6 linked regions of the Cricetulus griseus genome follow. The protein of the gene in region 4 binds, or shares a complex with, the protein of the main gene of each other region. Links are inferred from orthologs where the notes say so. Each region holds a gene or a part of one and is shown on either strand. Other genes may lie near its edges.

Region 1 (4,285 bases), on a different chromosome or scaffold from region 4:
GGGTGCTTTCTTCAGTGTAACTCACCCTACCTGATGTAATTAATTACATATGCTCATGGCAGAGCACAAAACCAGGCTCCAGAGAATGTAACCATTTAATAACAAAGAATCTGGGTGCAACAGCTTCCCTCTCATCAGGTGCTTCAATGCTACCTCCTCCAGACTCTCTAAAGTGCATTTCGTGAGTTGCCCTGGGAAATATATCTATATTAAAATTGAAAACGATGTTGATATATAGATATAAGATGTTGTCACATATGTTTCAGAAAAAAGATAAAATTCTGATGTTTTTTTTTTCAGTAAACACAGCTTTCTAAATTAGGTTCTGTTCAAATGTCCACTATGAGACATGTCTCCTGGTAAAAACAGGCAACTCCCTGTTTTAAAATACCTGGATTTGGCTTATGATGTCACAGGCACCAAAAGAAATTCCATGGGTGAGATCAAAAGTGTCTGAAAGAAGGCAGAGCATATAACAGCAGCAGGAAACAAGGGGTAATATCAGGATCCCAAAGTGTCTGCCCAACTTCTCTGCAGCAATGGCAGCTCTGGAGAAACTGCTAAGTGATATCGTTACTAAGTGAACCTTCCCACAGGCAGGGCACATCACCCTATGAGACTGCAGCTTGCCAGCTCACACTGTTGTGGATTAAGGATGGCCACTTAAAAACAGAAAATGTTCAGTAAATTCAAGTCCTGCTTAGAACTGCAGACTCTCAAGCTATGAGACGGTTGATCCTCAGAAAACAACTTCATGAACTGACCTAACTTAGAAAAGTGCTCAAGGCACCAAATCCAACTCAATTGCCACGATTCAAACCCAATTGCCATTATAAAGAACACATTAAACTTTTGACTTCAGACAAAAAAATAAAAGCAGGAATGTAATAGATTCAGTGCCATCTTCATCTTATAATTATTTTTTCTAAGTAGATGCACTAAGTTCTGATAATTGAAAAGATCACATAGCTAAGGTATTGTAAGCTCGCTAATGTTATACATAGTAATTGCTAAAAACTGAGTAATTTCTAGAAAATGTCTATGCTCCTGTTATTAATGAGGAAACACTGCCCGTCAAAGGTTCAAGTGCTGCAACATGAAGTACAGTCAACACAATGTTGGGATGCTGAGAATGTGCAAACATCAAACTTGGCAGATTGAATTTGAATAAGAACTCAAGCCTCTCTTGATGGGGTTTAGCACTGCATCACAGCAAATCTCTTGCATGCTCTGCACGATTACTGAAATACATGGCCTCAATGGGGGCAAAGTTTCCTTCAAGTACAGTTCTGTTGGGCCATTTCACATCACCAAGGCTGCTGTTACCAGTGAGGCACTGCGCAGGTCTTGCACTGTCTAGCAACTTAGTGACTGACATGGAGTTCAATGAGCCTATTTGGAGGCTTTCAGGTAATGCATGCACTTAAAACTGAAGTCTGCCAAAACTCATGGGTAGGTTTAAAGTAAAATAAACCACTTAAGTTCTTCTTCTAATTGTAAGAGTTACTAACAAGACTTGTTGCAAGAATACTTCCCAAAATGCATCATGGGAGGATATCCTATTTAAAGTCCTGAGAATCATGAAACAGAAAGCCAGCGATCCCTGAGCTTCTGTACGTGCTTTCTATTATTTCCAGGTAACCCAAGGTATTCTCTAAGGTTTGTGTCCCATTTGCTATAGTTGGGTAACTATTCACATTACAAAGTATTAAACAACAACAACAAAATCCCACAACATTCCACCAAAAACGTTCAAGACATCGAGGAAATCATCTAGTATGGTACAACTTGCAAAGTAGACACATTAGTCTCAACACATTAAACATGCCACTGTGTGCTACCTATTTCAGAAGACTGGACAGCTTGCAGACACTCCAGCCTTGCAGTCTCAGAAACCTTTATTACCCTAAAAGGACCTGCATCTCCTGTAATGCTGAGGGTTTGGGTTCCTGAGCAAAGTTAAAGGGGAGGTGTGACTGCACCCCAGGACACACAGGCGCACAGCTTCCTAAGGCCATGATAAACAGCTGCTGTCTTGCACCCTTTCCAGAACTCTCGGCTGTGCTGTGTGGGTGGCAACTTGAAGGTTTCCAAGAACTTTCCGTTTTTGTTTAAGCCAACAATTCTGGGTTTTGTCCATCAATAGTTTGTTATTTAAAAATAAGAATTGGGGCGGGTGGGGGTAAGAAGCTAGAATAATCTCTAAAAAATGTTGCAAAGTTGGCCCTTCAGGGTTCCCTTGATTTCTGGAGGTCCTGAGCTGGTGGCCCAAGAGATAGGCAGAGGCAGTTGGCACCACACCCCATCAGAGGGACAGCAAAAACCCCTGCATAGTGCCCGAGTTGCTGCAAGAGCCACTGCCTGGGGCCAGAGGGACCATTCCTTTGAAGAAATGCTGGGCAAAACCCAAACCTCACGTTCTGGAAGACCGTAGTTACCACGCAGTAAAGGAAAGCACCTGTGCCCCATGACCCAGATGTTCAAGATAAAAATCAAACCCTGCGTGCTGGTAGCTGTGATGTAAGAAAGACGAGGTTGCGGTGCCCAGGGGCTAGTGGTGTCCACTGTGCCCAGGGCCCAGGGCCAACCCCCGCCCACAAGAGCCACCCGGACAGGGGGACACAAGGACGCGAAGAAAGGAGGGGGCTCTGGGAGAGAAGGGGAAGCAGGGGACCGACGGAAGGGACTCAGGGGTGGCAGAAGATGGCCTTCAGGGGACCCCACTCACCCGCGCGGGCACCAGTAGGTGACTAGGACGCCCGCGGGGGGCGGCCAGGGACTGCGATCCCTCGGCGCTCATCGCCGCCCACGCGGCTAGGCGCGCGCTTCGGGCTCCGGAGCTCCCCAGTCCAGCGCCTGCAAGGCGCCCGCGCCCCTCTCTGGATGGGTTGGGGCGGACAGAGCCAGCAGCCACTGCGCTAGCAAGCTGGGCAGGCACGGAACCCCGCCCACCTCCCAACAGCCCGGCCCCTACTATCCTTCTCACCGCCCACCAAGCTCCGCCCGTTACCATCAAGCCCCGCCTTATGCCCGGTAACCCGGCCCATCAGCTTTGCCCTTCCACCTCTAGTCAGCGCTAGCTGGACTGGATTATGAGAGCTGCAAGAAGGATTCCCACCTCCTTGAAGGGACGACCATCACTTTCCCACTTTGGCCAGCAAAGTGCAAAGCTGGGGCAGGGTCAGAAGCCCGCTTCCCTTAGGACTGGAAGGCTAAGAGGACACCTGGGCCATGGGGGACTATGGCGCTATTCCCAGTGGATTCTGATGATAACATCACTGGCACTTACAGATGCTCTGTGACCACTTCCACTAGCAAAGCTTCTCAGATTCTGAGTGTGGCAACGCTTTGCCCTGACAACAGCCTTGGGTACCTCTGGTCTTTGCGGATCTCTACACAATAACCCAGCCCAGCAAACTCCAAAACTCACTTTCTGGAGAAACACACACACACACACACACACACACACACACACACACACACACACACACACACAAGTACCAAGTCCTTCCACTACAGTGAACTCCATTCCTTGTGTCCCACTCTTGGCATCTACTTAGGCCTCAGTCCTCAATCACTGTGAGGGCTCCTTCTGATGTTCAAGGCCGGGGCCCCGATTCCATCTTGCCTCCCACACTTTCCAAAAGGGCTCCAACTTAGTCACCAGTTTCAGTTAAGAGTTTCTTGTATTGTATCAGGTTTGTGTCAAAAGGCATCATAAAAGCAGTATTTGGTTTTATAGATTCACACCATCCTAGAATAAATGCAAATGGAAACTAGTTTGGCCTAAAAGACTGTGCCTGCCTGCACCCTTGCCAATGGCCTGGCCAACACCTGAGTAAAAAGCAAACCTATATTTTTCTCCTTTTTCAGGTCATATGCCCCAGCCCTATGACTCACAGGCAGGCATCCTGGGGGATGCTCATGTTGGCTATACTGTTGCACTATTAGGGAAACTGGGAAGTCTAATGTGTGGTTTTCATATGGCCCCATGATGGACAAGCAAATGTGGAACAAACCATTTACAACTGACCACTAAACAGCCCTGGGTTTGTGACACAGAAGCAAGGTGTTTCAGACTTCCCAGTCTTATTTATCCTCAGCCTACAATTCTACAGCTTTGGTTCATGCACAAAGAGGCTTATGCCCATCCCTTTATCCTTGTCCAGTATAAAATACATGCCTTAGATGACTGGACAATGAATATTAAACAATTTAGCATAAGCATGAGATCATGTAACTTATTTTGAAGTTGTATTTTGAAAAGCACATGAGTTCAATCTCT
Region 2 (3,926 bases), on a different chromosome or scaffold from region 4:
ACTTCTGACTTGTTTTGATTAATTAACAGTGGTTGCTGGCTCGATTTTTAACTGTAAGGTAGAATACCTTTATGGTGATATTCACTCTTCAATTCTCTAACATCTCCAGTAACCAATCCCTTTTTTCACCCTATATACATTTATGGTCACCTTCCTGGTTCCTAAGGCTTTTTTTTTATCTTTTGATGTTTGAAAATTCCTTCAACCTGTTTGGAATGTCCTATTTCAAAAGTCAAGAGGGCTAGGAATGTCACATCTTAAGTCCTGCAATCATCTTGTCAAAAAAATGACATTTCCACCCCCACCTCCACACCCTCCACCCCTGCTTTGGAGTATTTTTCTTGAGTAAGCCTATAATTTAATTAATCCCTTCTCTGTATCTTTGTATGTATACACATTTCTTAAGTTAGATAAGCCTGCTAAAGACACAAACCAGGAATATATTGCAGCAAATACTTTAAACAAAGTGTCTTGTCAGTCGTATGGTGCTCCAGTTTCCTGTCATGTGTGTCAGTGTAGGTGCCTTGCTTTAAGCAGTGAACACTACACACACACACACACACACACACACACACACACACACACACACACACACACACGAGGTGGGGGAGGGAGGGAGATAGGTTGTATTTTTTCCCCCTGTAGATAAATTATATTAACACAGAGTGAACTGCCAGCGAATGAACATGACACAGTGTTATCAAGTTCTTTTACACGGGGCATGGATGTATTGGGCTGTACCCACGTCACACAAAAGGAAAAGGTACAACTTTCTGCCCAAATATGCAATCTCACCAGTAGTTTGCCCGTGATGCCTTTCCCAGTATGGTTTGAAGCTCATAAGATAAAATCCTCCTGTTTTTTTTTTTTTTTTTTTTACATTTGTGGATATTTTGAGATTTTATTTAAAATATCAACAGTATCAATCTAATTACGAACCATAACTTTATTACCCTCTTTCCGTGCCCTCCTTCCCACATGCTTTCCCAAGGTAGGTGAGCATTGTGCCTTACTCATGGCACCCCAGGATCTGCCTTGGGAATGGGGCGAGGTAACGGAAAACGCTGGTGGGCGCGGAGAACCACCACTCCCAGCATCCTTGGCGCTCCCAGTGCCCGCGGTTTCCTCTTCCGGTCCGGCGGCTTAGGAAACTGTAAAAGCTATGCTGGGGACGCGGCGCGGAGCTTGATTCACCTTCACCTGCGCGGAGCTCCAGCTGACCCCGGGCTTCCGCCCGGTGAGCCGTCAGACATGAACGGACGGGTGGATTATATAGTTACGGAGGAAGAGATCAACCTGACGAGAGGACCCTCGGGTAGGCGCGGGACGTGGAGGGAGTCATTGCTGAGCTCGTTGGTTTTGCGGAGCCAGGTTTACTGGCTGGAGAGCAGGCCGGCCCGACCAAGTTGCTTCCAAGAACGCCGTCGGGCACGACGAAAGAGCCCATTGGCATCCTTTGTTAGCTAGATAACGGACCCTGGGACTCGGCCTCACAACCCAGGGAAAGTGCCGCAGGCATTTAGGGCCAGGAAGGGTTTCTGTTTGCTGGTAGTAATAGAAAAGTCTAGACGAACGGCCGCTGCTTAGACAGCCTGTAGTGGACGCCACATCCGTTATTCAGTTGCCTGGATCATCCTTGTTTATATGAGGGCCCGTTCAGGTAAAAACGAGAGCGGTAAACGGCGTGGTTTTCTGAATGCATAGCAATTTCCCTGGTGCTAGGGTCCCTGTCTGCATTTCTGGGAAATTAGTTTACAGTGTCAACTGGAATGCTAAAGCAGGAGGATACCCACTACAGAAGTTTCCAGACCTAGCGCCACCCCAGAATTACTTGGGCTTGTTTTGTTTTTACATTTTTTTTTATAATGAATTAAAACGAAAAGGCTATTTTCTAGTTTCATTTTTAGGGATATGGATTCAGTATGGATTAAACAATTCTTTAAATACTAAATGTGATTCTGACAGGAAAATTCCCACTCAGCCCTGCTGTGTCTTCCTCACCGCTGCTCATGGCCAGACTGGCATTATTATTATTATTATTATTATTATTATTATTATTATTATTATTATTATTGTTTTGGTTTTTCGAGACAGGGTTTCTCTGTGTAGCTTTGGAACCTATCCTAGCACTCGCTCTGGAGACCAGGCTGGCCTTGAACTCACAGAGATCCGCCTGCCTCTGCCTCCCGAGTGCTGGGATTAAAGGCATGCGCCACCACCGCCCGGCGCCAGACTGGCCTTTAAACATGACTACATAGTGCTGTTGTCTCCCTTGGACTATTTTTAGGTTTAGGGTTAACTACTTATGGCCAAGTTTTTATCTAACAACTTACCAGTTTGTCTGTCAGTCTGTCTGGTTGGTTTTAATTCATTGGCAGAGTAATTTAACTGATGTATGCTATAGGTTCTTGTCTGTAGAGTGGAGATGGTTATGAAGTGCATTGTGTTTGACATATAGTGTTAGGATGAAGCCAGTTACGCCCTGAGAAATATTTAGAACATTGTCTTGACATATGGTAAGCAATGTGTATTTGCTATTATTGTTATCATTAGTGAATGAATGGTTAGACTGACCCCAGTAAGTTCTGCTAAATACAGTATTCCAAGAGTTGAATAAATCATTGGTTACTGTGGATTTTTATTCTACTTAGAATATTCTGTCAACTTTTCTCATCTGGAAGTTTGCAATAACTTAATCACTACTGATAGAGTGTTCTGTATAAAACACAACTTTCAGAATTAGTCATACTTTTTGTCTTCCTGTTGGGAGAAAATTGGAAGTTGGTCTTATTTATGGGAGTAACACACTGCTAATCTTTGTGGTTTATACAGAAGCTCAGTGCTGGTTGATTTTATTTTTTATTTCATTTGTCAACTTGGCAGAAGATAGAGTTATCTGGGAAAAGGAACCTCAATTGAGAAAATACCTCTATCAGATTGCCCGTAGGCAGGCCTGTGGAGCATTTTCTTGATTGATATTGATGTTTGATGATCAGCTCACGGTGGGCAGTGCCACCCTGGGCACGTGGTCCTAGATTGTAAGGAAGCAGGATGAGCAAGCCAGTAAGTAGCGCTACTGTAGTTGCTACGTCCAGGCTCCTGATGGAGTTCTCTTTATGATGGAATGTTACCTGAAAGTGTAAGATTAAATAAATCACTTCATCCCTTAGTTGCTTGTGTTACAGTGTTTTGTCATAGCAATAGAAAACCTAAGATAAACTCAAAAACTTTTGCTCAAAGACTTTTCAATATGCTCAAGTGTTTGAATTTGTCCTATTTTAGAAAACTATTCTCTCAATATTTATTTACTTTTTAGGCTAGCATGGTAGAAATTGAATTTTTATTGCATTTATTTAGTTATTTGTGTGAGGGGCAAGGAGGCCTGTAGAACTCAGAGGACAACTTTCAGGAGTCAGTTTTTTCCTTCTATCATGTGGGTCCCAGGGATTGAACTCAGGTTGTCAGAGTTGGTGGCAAGTGCTTGTGCCCACTGAGCCATCTCACTCAGCAGCCTCAGATCTTTAAATAAAAGTCCATTTTTTTGTGTGTACTTTTCATCTTCTCTTCTTAGGATCAGTTGAGATACACCTTTCTGATTGCTTTGCAAGTACATAATGACATCTAGTTCTTTAAATATACTTGCATGATACTACTTTTTATGATGTTTGAGGTTGTTTTTTGCCTAATGGTAAGGACCTAATGATATAGTCTCTTTGCAGTGGTATTACAGTATTTCCAGGGTCTTCCGATGAGAGCAGATTCCTGATATTATTATTCTTGTTTAAGCACTAAATTCAACATAATATCACTGTTTGAACCTCTGGGCATTTTAATGGGCATTGTCTAATTTCTAAGCAATTTTCTTACAGATCTAAAGTTTCTACTCTTAGTATTTCCATCAAGCATTAGAGCTAGGGAAAGTGCCC
Region 3 (3,500 bases), on a different chromosome or scaffold from region 4:
AGTGATTACTTGACCCTGAACCATTTGAGACCACATGGAGACAAAGAAGATACCAAGCCAGAAACAATAGTGGTTATGGAATGCATACACACTTCCATGTATTTTTACAGTAAAAATGAATTTAAAAAATCTTTCACAAAAGAAACTTAAAAAATACAAGTAGGCTATTGAGTCCTCCCCCACCCAACATTCTTTCAGGCATCAATTGTATAGTGGAGGGGGATGGTCCTAAATGGTTTGGTTTAATCATACAACATACTCATCCATCATACCTCATCAGCACTCTTACATGACGTGGAAGGGTGGGGAGAGGAAGCTCACAAGAGTCTGCTTCCAACAAATGTTACAGTAGATTGAAGAGAATTCTACTTTTCTGCTTAGTGTATAGTTCTCTGTACTTTGAAAGTGCAATACTTTCAGACCAAATCTGATGTACAGAATTAAGATTAAATTGCTACAGCAAAATTCCTCAGATACCAAGCCAGGCTCAGGTGGTTAGCACTGACTTTAAATGCTGAACACCATTTCTTACAATGAGACAGACACCTTGATGTTAACTTCAGGAGGCAATCGAAAAACCATCCTTGACTCTTTTACTTGTTCAAAACCCTCAGACTGTGATCAGGAGAATTAACTAGTCACATCATGGACCATGCTACAAGTAGTGAGAAAAATCCCAGCAGCAGAGCCTTCAGTGTAATACCTCAGAGTTAGCTCTCAGGAAATGGATGAAATATACATTGCCATTCAGCATTAGCACTGTAGTCAGTGCATGCTTTGTAGGGAGAACTCTGATAATAAAAGTAGCAATCACAGACTCCCCGCCCCCTTTAGCTACGGAATGTACATTGTGTCTGATTCAGGAAAAGAACGTTGATCACGTCCACATTAACTATAGCTACTTGGTGTAATTTCTTGTATAAACCCCAAGTCAAATAAAGCTATGAACAATGTAATATTTATATGTGCATAGTGTTTTATAAAAAGATTGGCCCACACACTGCTTTTCATCAACACAGAGGGAGCACTAAGCATGAAATAAAAGAGTGAAGAACAGAGAATGCAAATGAATGCCTGATTATTCATGAGTAGGCTCTCCGTGGAGAAATGATAGCGCCAACTAAAGCTTTAGTGATTACTTATACAGTCTCCCTCTTTAAAACAACTTTACATACCTGATTTACTTTACATTAAAGTATATTCCCAAGAATCAATCTGTTCATATTCAGAAATATAGACACATACCACATTCCTCACAGCTAGACTTTTGTCATAAATTCTCTTTTATACAAAAAAAGGCAACAGTTGTTTATTTTTTTTTTCCAACAGGCTCTATTAATTACAATTTTAAACTCTACATACAATGATTGGCTGGTTTTCTTTTCTTTTTTTTGTTTTTTGTCTTTTTCTTCCCTCCCCTAATACAGTACCATGGGAACAACAGTGATTGACTTGCAAAGTTTTTGTGTCTGAATGGAAAATGCAAAACAGTACTACAGAAATACAAATGCACTGTCAGCAGCAGTTTGCCGTAGTGGTCCAACAGGTACAAGCAAACACTTTGGCTCAGCTAGGCAGTAATCCACTTAAACCACATCTCAGGGCTACAGCTCACCCAACCACACCATCTGAGGGTTCAGAAAATGGGTCTATTTTAGAAAGAAAAAACATTCCATTTTATTTTGCTATCCCCAGATACAAAGAACAGGGTCATGGGGACGGAGCTTTCTCAGAAGGTCAAGAATCATGGGTGTTACCACTTTCTTCTTTGCCTTTCAATCAATCGGTAAGACTTGGATTATGGTTTCAAAGTGCATAATCATCCATTCAGGAATAAGCAGCCCCAATGCTTTTCAAATATCACGAGAGAGGTTTCCTCTACCAAAGTCCACTCCTCTGCGCCCTCTGCAGAAGGCAACCATGGGCTTATGCTAAACAGTGGGGGAGGGCATTCTTTCCATATTGGAGACATTTATATCTCCCTCATCCCAGAGGCATAAGGTCCTACCTACATTCCACCTACTCAGTTTCATATTGGACCAGACAACCCAGAAGCAGCCTGTCTGTTCCTCCTAAAGGCTGACAATTTGTGATGGGCACTGCTGTGAGATGTGTTCCGTGGCGGAGTTGATGAAACTGACCATCTGAGCTAAGGCTGTATTTGGTTAATGGCAGCCAACTTTGTTTTTGCACCTTCCTGGGCCAGGGAGGGCACAAACCGTACTCTGAATCAACTATTAACTCAAGATCATAAAGTTTCTTAGCGCTGTGCACTGTCGTCATAAATATCCTTCATTTGCAGTAGTATTCTTGTCACACAGTTTGGCCACCCTAATCCATCCTAAAAGGTCCTTAGTTTGTACAAATAGAAGCTTGCTTTTTTTGTGTGTTCTGTTTTTCTGAAAAACAGGGGTTTACAGTACAGCACTACATCACTTCTAACAGTTTATACTGAGTTAAATTTCATTGCATTTACTTAGAGGACATGACCAACAGCCCCATTTATCTAGAAGAGAAAGAGCTTGCCCTAAGAGGGAACAATTCTCAACAATTGTATAGCTTGTGAAGAAACAAAATGTATATCCCTTTAGGCCATTATTTTGGCAAATAATTTTCAAAAAAAAGTATGCATTTAAAAATACTTTCTTTAATATTATACATCAGGCACAACAAGACTTTTCATATATATATTTTTTCTCATAAGATTTCAAATGCATAAAATGTCCATTACTATTCATAGGTCTGTCAGGTGTAGATGCTTTCTCAGGTAAGAAACTAAATTATCCCATGTTTGCGACCTTCCTCTTAGAACCTTTGACACGGTAAAGGTTGCAGTGTGACTCAGGAGTCTCAGATGCTGAGGTCAGTGCTACACTCTTTGTAAGGCCGCCTTCTCTGCTCTGGAGGATTTCTGGGGCTTCTCCCAGCTTCAGGCTTCAGACCAGCCTCGTCCTTTTCTCGGTGGCCAACCTTGTCGTCCCGGTTTCTTTTGTCCAGAGACCGCTCTCGCCTGCGCTCGGGGGACCTGGCTCTCCTCCTGTCGGTGGACTTGGCTCTCCTCTCAGGTGAGCCCCCTCTTCTGTGCTCTGGGGACCGTCTCTGATCCAGGAGTCTTTCCAAGGACCTCCGCCGGCGGCTGGGGGAGCTGTCTCGTCTCCGGGTGGGTGACCGCTCTCGCTTCCTCTCAGGGGACATCTCCCTTCTCTTCTCATGCTTCTCCCTCCTTTCCAAAGTGGTGTCGGCACTGCGGGTGCCTTCCCTGTGCTTCTCCGGGGACCTCTTCTTGGGGCCATTGGTGGCTGTCCGCTCCGGCTGTGCGTCTCTCCATGCATCGGGTGGCCGGTCTTTGGGCCGGCATGCCCCACTGTCGGATTTTCTAGAAGTTCCATTCCAGGTGTGGTGTTCGTTGGGTTGTTTGCTATGCTCCCTATTGCCTTTTGGATCCTTCACGTGTGCCCGCTTTTCCCCATGTTGTGATGATTTGTGAAGATCGGGTGGGT
Region 4 (3,500 bases):
TGTTAGGGATGGTCCCTGGGCGGTAGCACCTGGGGTCGAGCCAACTCTTGTCTTCTGCAGCAACTCCACGGGAAGAACTTAGTTTTCAGTGATGGCTATGTGGTAAAGGAGACGGTCGGCGTGGGCTCCTACTCTGTGTGTAAGCGCTGTGTCCACAAGGCTACCAACATGGAGTATGCTGTCAAGGTTGGCTTCCCAACCACGTCTTGATTAAGGCTGCTGGGTTGAGGGTGGGGCCCGTGTACCCGTGGCACTTCGATGGGAGGTCTGTGGATTATGACAGATGTACGGCTGATTGTCCCTGGTCCTGTGGTATGGGCTTCATGGCAGAGGGAATCGGACAGTGGGGTCTGTGCCCCTGACATTGCCATGTGCTCCCACTCTTCAGGTCATCGACAAGAGCAAACGGGACCCCTCAGAGGAGATTGAGATTCTTCTGCGGTATGGGCAGCACCCCAACATCATCACCCTGAAAGATGTGAGTGGTGGGAGGGCCCTTGTTTTTCACTTCAGGGCCTCTTCCCAATGCTCATGAGAAGAGGCAGGGGTCCCTGAGCCTTCCCTCCAGGCTCAGGCATTCTCTGAACCCTCTATAACCATCAGGGATGAGGCCAGCACCCACTGTCTAGCAGGATGGGAGCTCACCCGGTGGAGGTCCAGCAGGGTCACTGGAATGTGGCAGTACCCGGCCCTGAGGCTTCCTCGTCAGGAGAGCTGGTGTCTTGAGGGTCCCAGCCTGATGGTGAGGTCTCTGGCAGGTGTATGATGATGGCAAACACGTGTACCTGGTGACAGAGCTGATGAGGGGCGGGGAGCTACTGGATAAGATCCTACGGCAGAAGTTCTTCTCAGAGCGGGAGGCCAGCTTCGTCCTGCATACCATCAGCAAGACTGTGGAATACTTGCATTCCCAGGGGGTGAGTCTCAATTCGGGGCGTCATGACATGGCCAGAGTGCAAGAACTTTCTGTCTCGGGCGTGGCAGTCTCCAAATTGCCAGTCAGAGGGGACTGGGGAATGGGTAGGTAGGTGACTCTAAGAGGAGGGAAGACCTGAGGCCAGACTGAGGCGCATCTGTCCAGTACCTACTGTGTGCCATACACCACACTATGGATTAATTTAAGGGAAAGTTTCCTTTGTTATTCCAGTTGGATTTCCTGAATTAGATGTTGTTACTGGCCCTTGGCAGGTCAGAAGTCTGAGGCTTGGAGTATAAGGTCATTTTCCTGGAAGCCCACAACTGAGGAAAGTGGCAACAGGAAGTGGGGGGGAGAAATAGATTTTCTTTGGAAGGTGCAGGGGTCCCTGTGGGGGAGCTTCAAAGGAGAGGGTGACCCAGATGCTAAGAAAGAGGGAGTAGCGGGGCTTTGGTGGCGCACACCTTTAATTCCAGCACTCAGGAGGCAGAGGCAGGTGGAGCTCTGTGAGTTTAGGCCAGTCTGGTCTTCAGAGCGAGTGCCAGGACAGACTCCAAAGCTACAGAGGAGCCCTGTCTCAAAAAACTAAAAAAAGATGGAGGCGGTGAAGGGAGTGGGTGGGCCAAAGAGCGGGGTGTGGCCTTCTTTGTTGACTGATGTTGCCCTGGGAATGGGCCAAGTGGCAGGGTAAAGTTCCTCATGGTTCAGTTCCCTGGAGCTTCTCTCTGGGTGGTGTGATGTTTGGGCGTGCTTCTGATCACACAGCGAGGGGCTTAGGAATGAAGTCAGCCTGGTGTCAGAGGCCTTTAATCCCAGCGCTCAGGAGGCAGAGGCAGATGAATCTCCATGACTTTGAGGCCAGCCTGGTCTACCTATGGAGACCTTGTCTCCAAAGAGGGAAAAAAGAAAACAGTCAGACATGGCAGCCCCCTGTAGTCCCAGCTCTTGAAAGGCCAAGGGAAGAGGATCATGGCAAGGTGGCAGACAGTGATGTGCCACCATCCCCTCACATGTATGTATTCTTGAGAGCGCATTTGTATAGGCGAGTAGATGGACAGGTGCGTTTGCACGTAAGTGCCTGAGTGTGGAGGTCAGAGGACACACTACACCGTAGGTATTGAGGCAGGGTCTCGTGCTGACTAGCTAAGCCGCTTCCTCCAGAGTCTCTCTCCACCTCCTAAGTGTTTAAATTACAAGCCGATTACCATATCTGCCCGGAGTCTACATGGGTGCTAAGTAAAGGTCTGAACTCTGGTTCCCATGTTTACATGGTGTCCTATTTTGCTTTCAGTTGCTATAATAAAACATTATGATTGGCTGGGCAGTGGTGGCACATGCCTTTAGTCCCAGAACTAGGGAGGCAGAGACAGGTGGATCTCTGTGAGTTCGAGGCCAGCCTGGTCTCCAGAGCGAGTGCCAGGATAGGCCCCGAAGCTACACAAAGAAACCCTGTCTCGAAAAACCAAAAAAAAAAAAAATATATATGCAGCTGGGCAGTGGTGGTGCATGCCTTTATTTGCATAGAGTTTACAGCAATGTCGTCTGCTGTGTGAGAGTTTCCTATTTGTAAGCCATGTGTATGTAAAAGAGATCAGTAGTTCCTTGGAACATCTGAGTTCTGAGCTTGTTGTTTCCTGCCGGCACCACTTACATTACTTTGTAATTCACATCATTCCTGTCAGTGTTTCTCGTAAACTGAAACTTGTAGCTCCTCTAGCCCTTTTCAGTACTATGCCTCACCATCGGCACCATTCTGTGCTTTGATGCTGCTGAGTGGGAGAAAGGGTCTTTTTTTGTCCATGCAGAGGATCAAACCTAAGTCCTCATGTGTGCTAGGGGCACACTGCCCTGAACTCTGAAGTCTACTTTACTTTCTTGCAGGGAGAGTGGGAATAAGGTTGAGAAGGCCAACCAAGGTCTGGGACCCAAACGAATCACATAGAAGGCTTACCTAGTTTTTGTTGATTGTTGTTGTTGTTAGTTTGTATTTTGAGACAGGGTTTCTCTGTGTAGCTCTGGCTGTCCTAGAACTCCCTTTGTAGATCAGGTTGGTCTCAAACTCAGAGAGCCACCTGCCTCTGCCTCCCCAGTGCCGGGAATTAAAGGTGTACGCTACTACCATGCCCTGCTTTTGTTTATTATATTTGAGACACGGTCTTGTAATATAACTTAGGCTAACCTGAAACTTGCTATGTAGCCCAGGCTTTTCCTAAACCCACTCTGTGGCCTGGAACTCACAGAGATCAGCCTACCTCATCCTCCCCAGGGCTGGGATTATAGACCCAGCAAGAATACTTAACTATTACAGGCCACTGGCCTTTGAGGAATTCCAGTTTTCTTTGTCCTTATAGACTATAGAGGAGAACTCTGGAAATGGGCTTGTTGTGACTGTATCCAACTGTTGGCCTCCAGGTCCATGTTTTAGTGACTGGGATGTGTCCTCACAGGTCCGAAAGCTCAGCTTCTCCTCTACTCATACCTAGAGGCCAGTCAGGACCTGAGCTAGCTATGTAGAACAGTGGGGCCCTGAAGTGGAGGCAGGGGCGCGAGGTCACTTGTCTCTCGGTGTGACGTTGTACTTGAT
Region 5 (3,500 bases), about 220 Mb from region 4:
CCCTTCTTCCAGTAGGTGTATGTGGGGTCTCCTCCTCTCTCTGGTGGTAGGTGGAGGGCTGAGGCTCAGGCAGCAGGCTCAGGCTCAGGCAGCAGCCAGAAGGGAGAGGGTGGTAGAGAGATAAGGGTGAGGTATGTCCAGACTCAGGGTGGGCCTTACGGTCTGGGCAGGTCCACTCTTGTCCAGGGGGGCTCAGACAGAAGCGACCAGGGTTGGATGGGGGAGGTTGTGGGCAGAGCAGCACCAAGTCTCACCTCAGACTCAAGCGGCAGCCAGAGAACAGAGTGCTTTTCTAGTTTTAACAATGTTTATTTTAAAAACAAGGTTTCTGGTTCCCTGTAGCAATGTCTTACAGAAAATTCCTGTGTATATCAATCAAAATAATAATGAAACTAACAAAGTATATTAAGTAAGAACTCAAGAATGCAAATAATCTATAATAATGTAAAACTTCATTCATTATTTTCATTATCTTGCCACTTTTAAAAATTATCATTTTAAATAACTAGCTTCCATCTGAATGCATCACACACATCCCCACATGTATCAGATACCTTTGGATATAATCTTCTTTCCAGAAAATAGAACTTCACTCCACTAAGTTAAATTGGGAGCAAAATCAAGGACATTAATTCAGTTAAGGAGCTTAAGCCATTAAGTGATAAGACATTTATCAAAGGCATAATTATACTTGTACTCATAATGATCTGTACCAGTGTATTCAATGCTGCTTTGATTTAATATCTGTCACTGGGACACTCCCCAAATACAATATTTCCTCCAAACACCAAAAGAACCTTGTCACCATTTATTTGTGTTCTATGCTCACATTGTCTTGTTAATTTTTTTGCAATGCCTATGCCATCTTCTTAGCTCCCTGAAAGTTTTCAGGCAGCAAGAATCAGAGTTAATTCTATAATACTGGAAGTAACTTCCTTTATCCTTCCAGTATGTACCTACAAGAATCAAATTGGAATGCAAGGGAGTTAGATATTCTGTTTTAAATCATAGCTAAAGCCGAGGGTTCAATGTATTTGCACTGTTTAGTTATGGTACATCTGCATGCATTCCTCCATCAATAGCTAGATACCAATGAGTAGCCCCTCAAAAATTTACAGTATATTGAATAAGTATTTCAAATTATGTATCTGAGAATGTAGTACAGACTGTTGTCCTGTACTTTTTCATACATAGCATATCTGAATTTTCAAAGTACCTTAGAGTTGAAATGTTTTGCATTAGGGGAACACCTTGGTAAAAAATGTGGGACCAAACCAAGAAATTTCTAGGAGCAAAATCTTTGATACAATGAAATAAAATTACACATATAAAGAAAATGTTTGCCATAGGGGAATATAGAAAGCAATTGGTGCAGAAAATTGCACTACGTTTTTCCTAATTTTCTATGGGGTCATGAATTTAATGATTTCCAAAAAAAATCATTTCAGTGAAATTTTCTCATGACTGTGAAAGATGCCAGCATAATCATAAGCATTATTACATCTCAGTGCCCAGACAGTTTGCAAGGAAGTTGGGGTGTTGTGTATCAGGCCATTTTGCAATCACAGATTTTTTGTGTATGTGCATTCAGCACTGTAGTTATTCCTTTGTTACTAAGAAATTTGGGTGAATGATCACAGAAAATGGATTCAGATGTGGGATTTAAAATTTGTTTTAACCATTTTGAATTAAGATTAATGACAGTACAAAATTCCATGTGTATTGTGGAATCTACCCATTGTATCAAGCAGCTCAGTAGGCATTTGCTGCGCTGATTAAGAATTGATGTATGCCAGCCTGTGTAACTCCAGGTTTTCATCAGGACAGTGACCTGCTGGATCAGAGGAAATACTGCTTTACTATGCAGTCTGAGTGTGGGGAGGACTTCTACTTCTCTGTGGAGCTAGAGAGTGACCTTGCCCAATGGGAACGAGCCTTCCAAACAGCCACCTTCCTAGAAGTGGAGAGGATACAGGTAGGAGACTATGGAGGGCTTTGTGTAATATCTGGGGACATCTAACCACTCACTGGAGTTCAGAAGGTATCTGAGCACAGTTCTGTGAGGTTGCCTTCCACCTCAAATGATTCCACTGTTTAGCCTTTATTGAAAAATGAGTAAGTAGGCATATCCAAATAATCATTGAAGTTTCTTTTTCATGAATTTGCCTTCATAGGTTACTTCCTATTAAATATTCCTATGATTTGAATCTTATATAGAAAATGCTCTTGCTGTTGTTCCCTATTTATGCGGTTGTTTCCTTTCTTCAGACATGGCCAACTAATTTCTAGATGTCTTCCTTTGAACTATGCCTTTCAAAACAATGCACAGTATGTGAAGCTTTCTTCAAAGATGACTTCATCCATGGGCCTCAATTTCTATGGCTTCTTCCCCGATTCCTTTCATAGATGTTCTGCTGATTCTCGCTACTTCCCCCGGTAGCAAAAAAGTTATTCACCGTTTTCTTTCATTCAGTGTTTCACTGTTTTCTTCAGATGACTTACACCATAACATTAAAAACTTATTGCCATAGGTTGCTTATTTTATTCCTCTGTGGTTTGAAGTCTAAGATATTTTGCAAGCCACAAGTGGCCAGTGGTATTTACTGAATTGTTGTTCTCCTGTATGAAGCTATATCTAAATCAGACTTCATAAACCCTTTAACCTCTCAAATACATGAGTATCTGAAATGAGACATATCACAGAATTGGTTCTGTGGTTGACCTGGAACAAGATACAAAAAATTTAAAGTTAATTAGGTTTTTGCCCCTTGGAATAGAATCATAGATCAAGCACCAGCATATGTGGACACTTAGTTTTTTAAACACATATTATAACTGAAATGAAAATACTCAACTCTTGGTTTGACTCATATTTTATAACTTCTCTTTTTAACTACACTAGGAATGGGCACATTTAGTTGAAAAAAAATGGAATTTCATTTTCACATTTGAGAATGTGAATGTACTAGCAAGAAAATATTGTTTAATTTCTGTAGAATGAATATCTTGGTTTCCTTAAAGTTGGCTAAAATTAAAATTATGGACCTGGCAGTACATGTCTGTAATCCCAGCAATTGGGAGGTAAAGACAGGTAAAAAAGTTGAGTGTTGTCCTCTGCTATATAAGTCTGTGCTACATGAGACCCTGTCTCAACACTGGAAAATAGCAATAAATAGGAAAATGTGAGCTAATGAAAATTAGGCAAAAAAGAAGAAAGCTAATACCTTGATTAATGCTATAGAAGAAGTCATGAATTAAAGTGTTTTTCTTTAAAAACATATTTGTATTACAAGGACTACAAAGCAACATTTTCTACCTGAAATACATTTATTTAATTATGTATGTTTTGTTTTGAACTTGTAGTAAACACAGAATAAATACTATCATATTTATTTGAAATGATGACACATAAAAGCACATATTTTGTGTACATTGAACAGTCTCATTTAAATTTCTAATTAATCTTTAGAAAATATAGTGAATATTGAAACATAAAGCAC
Region 6 (2,239 bases), on a different chromosome or scaffold from region 4:
CCACAGGCTTGCTGGAGAAGTCTCCAAATCTGCTTTGAAGAACTAATTTCTCAGGCATTCAGATTCCCGAAGAGACCACTACTCCACTTGCTTAATCAGTTATAGTCCCACCCATTCTATCTTTCGATGTAACCATCTTTAAAGGGGAGTACACAGGGGTGAGGTCGAGCATGTCTGGCTCTTCACATAGAATGGAAGCTCTATTGGTAGTAACTTAAAATACTCGCTACCACCATGATTTTAGAACAGAAAAAAAAAAGAGCATATGATGTCACATTTATTAATGTTACAATATCGAGGTATCATCCATATTTGTTGGCCTGGTTTAACAAAAGCACTAGAGAAAATCAACTCAAAGGAGGGAAGGTTTATTCCGCTCATGGTTCCAGCCCATGGTTGTCAGGCTGCACTGTGTGAGGGCCTTTGATGAGGTCAACCATCATGGCAAGGATCAAAGCTGCTCACCCGGTGGAGGCAAACAAAGAAAGGAAGTGACCTCACTTCATCCCAAAGGTCCTACCACCTCCCAGTGGTGCCAGCGGTGGGCCCCAAGCTGCTTACACATGAGCCTCTGGAAGACATGTAGAACCAAAATCACAGTCCCTGTGGTGTAAGTGAAAGAACTATACTGTGCCATCTATATTTTGGGAGATATTTAAAAGTCTTCATGAGCCCCTCGGAATCACCATCTTTCACGCCTGAATCTTTTGTATTTAGGGAAGCACGTGACTTCACAGAGCTCTCCTGGCAGGGACGGGGGTGGAGGGAGTTGTTAATTAAAATGGTCAGAACTGGAATCTTCCGTGCTCAGAGTCTGCATCCTTCCCACTGGTCTTCAGGCCTGAACTCTTGGTGCATCAGCAGCCTGACCTTTGTCACTCAGTGGTAGCCTTACCACTCATCAGGCTTCGGTGTCAGGACTATCAGGAAAAAGCCTACGACATGTAGGAAATAAGCCAAGACGATAAAAGAACAGAACAGAACGGCAGCTCTGACGTGTTCCCAAGTGAACGTTAAAATCCACATGGCTCCCAAACACACACAGGCTCTCCAGCACTGAGTTCATTTTTTTTTTAAAGATTTATTTATTATGTATACAGCGTTCTGTCTGCTTGTATGCTTGCACGCCAGAAGAGGACACCAGATCTCATTCAAGGTGGTTGTGAGCCACATGTGGTTGCTGGGAATTGAACTCAGGACCACTGGAAGACCAGCTAGTGTTCTTAGCCACCGAGCCATCTCTCCAGTCTGAGTTCTTTTCTTTAAGTCACTGGCTCAGGTTGAGATGGGATTCACACATGTTCCAGGTACAATCTGTTACTTCTTGATTATTTCCCTATTTTAAAGTAACCCAGGTCCCACTAGACCAAAGGCAAGAGGAGAGGCACAGACTCCACCCCACTTTCCTGTGGCTGACTGTCCCTCACTCACAGAGGACTGCTAGAAGTTTTCATAACCTGTATTGGGATTTTTTTTTCTGATGCAAATTATCACCCTGGTACTTTGAATAACATTTTGATAGCCCTGAATCCCATCTAAAAAGGACTTCATCAGCTTTTCTTTTTTTCTTTCTCAATCTCAGGAAATCAAAGAGCAGGAAGTTGTGGACAAAGTCATGGAAACACTGGATGAAGATGGAGATGGAGAGTGTGACTTCCAGGAATTTATGGCCTTCGTCTCCATGGTGACTACAGCCTGCCATGAGTTCTTTGAACAAGAGTGAGACAAAAAAAAAAAAAAAAAAAAAAAAAAAAAAAAAAAAAAAAAAAAGTAGCCAAGCTGTTCCTGTGGCAGACATGAAGGCCAGGAAAGTAAGCAGAGTGGAAGGCTTGCAGGCTTGAAGGAGCGGAGCTCTCCATCCACATATAACTAATTAGGAAGCTTGATTTGCTTTGGGTATGAGAAACTGAAAGGCTTCCCAAAAGCTGCTTTAAGTTAGCACACATCATTATTTCTGCTACATTAGGCATTCCTGTGAACTGTCTGGTCCCAGGAAGTGTTGGTTAAGAATCACTTAGGGGACAAATTCAATGCTGGGCAGTACAGCATGTGTGGCAGATCATCGTGCCCCTGAGAAGCATGGCCCAGAAGAATCACAGCTGCCCACCAACAGCAAGCAGTTCTCTAGGACGGCATTCTTAATGCTTCCAACAGACCCCCAAATCCACAGCTGGATCCACTGTCCCTGGAAGAGGCTGTTTTTCCTTACATCTTCCTTACGCTGTTTGTGCAAATATGC

What was found.
Region 1: the proteins of Rps6ka1 (region 4) and Sntg2 are in contact, whole or in part, in a crystal structure (PDB 7QQL), measured with the Homo sapiens proteins. The link is inferred for Cricetulus griseus from reciprocal best matches to the Homo sapiens genes RPS6KA1 and SNTG2. Residues at the interface, in NP_002944.2 of Homo sapiens: Pro731, Ser732, Thr733, Thr734, Leu735; in NP_061841.2 of Homo sapiens: Gly82, Gly83, Leu84, Gly85, Leu86, Ser87, Ile88, Lys89, Gly90, His94, Ser101, Lys102, Phe104, His134, Val138, Leu141, Arg142.
Region 2: the proteins of Rps6ka1 (region 4) and Synj2bp are in contact, whole or in part, in a crystal structure (PDB 7P74), measured with the Homo sapiens proteins. The link is inferred for Cricetulus griseus from reciprocal best matches to the Homo sapiens genes RPS6KA1 and SYNJ2BP. Residues at the interface, in NP_002944.2 of Homo sapiens: Pro731, Ser732, Thr733, Thr734, Leu735; in NP_060843.2 of Homo sapiens: Arg18, Gly22, Leu23, Gly24, Phe25, Asn26, Ile27, Val28, Gln33, Ser45, Arg46, His78, Val82, Phe85, Arg86.
Region 3: the proteins of Rps6ka1 (region 4) and Magi1 are in contact, whole or in part, in a crystal structure (PDB 5N7F), measured with the Homo sapiens proteins. The link is inferred for Cricetulus griseus from reciprocal best matches to the Homo sapiens genes RPS6KA1 and MAGI1. Residues at the interface, in NP_002944.2 of Homo sapiens: Pro731, Ser732, Thr733, Thr734, Leu735; in NP_001028229.1 of Homo sapiens: Arg480, Gly481, Phe482, Gly483, Phe484, Thr485, Val486, Val487, Gly488, Asp490, Lys499, Ser500, His532, Val536, Phe539, Gln540.
Region 5: the proteins of Rps6ka1 (region 4) and Sntg1 are in contact, whole or in part, in a crystal structure (PDB 7PC8), measured with the Homo sapiens proteins. The link is inferred for Cricetulus griseus from reciprocal best matches to the Homo sapiens genes RPS6KA1 and SNTG1. Residues at the interface, in NP_002944.2 of Homo sapiens: Arg728, Lys729, Leu730, Pro731, Thr733, Thr734, Leu735; in NP_001274742.1 of Homo sapiens: Gly67, Phe68, Gly69, Leu70, Ser71, Ile72, Lys73, Gly74, His78, Ile80, Ser85, His118, Glu119, Val122, Leu125, Arg126, Arg141.
Region 6: the proteins of Rps6ka1 (region 4) and S100b are in contact, whole or in part, in a crystal structure (PDB 5CSJ), measured with the Homo sapiens proteins. The link is inferred for Cricetulus griseus from reciprocal best matches to the Homo sapiens genes RPS6KA1 and S100B. Residues at the interface, in NP_002944.2 of Homo sapiens: Ala697, Met698, Ala699, Ala700, Thr701, Ser703; in NP_006263.1 of Homo sapiens: Ser42, His43, Phe44, Leu45, Glu46, Ile48, Val53, Val57, Ala84.

What each region holds. Positions count from the first base shown.
Region 1 is NC_048600.1:32,419,981-32,424,265, forward strand, and holds the start of Sntg2 (gamma-2-syntrophin), read right to left. Parts: upstream 2,801-4,285; coding exon 2,729-2,800; intron 1-2,728. UniProt on the Homo sapiens protein: Adapter protein that binds to and probably organizes the subcellular localization of a variety of proteins. May link various receptors to the actin cytoskeleton and the dystrophin glycoprotein complex.
Region 2 is NC_048598.1:122,173,805-122,177,730, forward strand, and holds the start of Synj2bp (synaptojanin-2-binding protein), read left to right. Parts: upstream 1-1,126; 5' UTR 1,127-1,251; coding exon 1,252-1,315; intron 1,316-3,926. UniProt on the Homo sapiens protein: Regulates endocytosis of activin type 2 receptor kinases through the Ral/RALBP1-dependent pathway and may be involved in suppression of activin-induced signal transduction.
Region 3 is NC_048601.1:50,151,311-50,154,810, reverse strand, and holds the end of Magi1 (membrane-associated guanylate kinase, WW and PDZ domain-containing protein 1), read right to left. Parts: coding exon 2,851-3,500; 3' UTR 70-2,850; downstream 1-69. UniProt on the Homo sapiens protein: Plays a role in coupling actin fibers to cell junctions in endothelial cells, via its interaction with AMOTL2 and CDH5. May regulate acid-induced ASIC3 currents by modulating its expression at the cell surface.
Region 4 is NC_048595.1:19,421,641-19,425,140, forward strand, and holds part of Rps6ka1 (ribosomal protein S6 kinase alpha-1), read left to right. Parts: intron 1-60; coding exon 61-186; intron 187-388; coding exon 389-478; intron 479-758; coding exon 759-917; intron 918-3,500. UniProt on the Homo sapiens protein: Serine/threonine-protein kinase that acts downstream of ERK (MAPK1/ERK2 and MAPK3/ERK1) signaling and mediates mitogenic and stress-induced activation of the transcription factors CREB1, ETV1/ER81 and NR4A1/NUR77, regulates translation through RPS6 and EIF4B phosphorylation, and mediates cellular proliferation, survival, and differentiation by modulating mTOR signaling and repressing pro-apoptotic function of BAD and DAPK1.
Region 5 is NC_048595.1:235,446,428-235,449,927, reverse strand, and holds part of Sntg1 (gamma-1-syntrophin), read left to right. Parts: intron 1-1,822; coding exon 1,823-1,975; intron 1,976-3,500. UniProt on the Homo sapiens protein: Adapter protein that binds to and probably organizes the subcellular localization of a variety of proteins. May link various receptors to the actin cytoskeleton and the dystrophin glycoprotein complex.
Region 6 is NW_023276806.1:262,463,716-262,465,954, reverse strand, and holds the end of S100b (protein S100-B), read left to right. Parts: intron 1-1,582; coding exon 1,583-1,723; 3' UTR 1,724-1,739; downstream 1,740-2,239. UniProt on the Homo sapiens protein: Small zinc- and- and calcium-binding protein that is highly expressed in astrocytes and constitutes one of the most abundant soluble proteins in brain.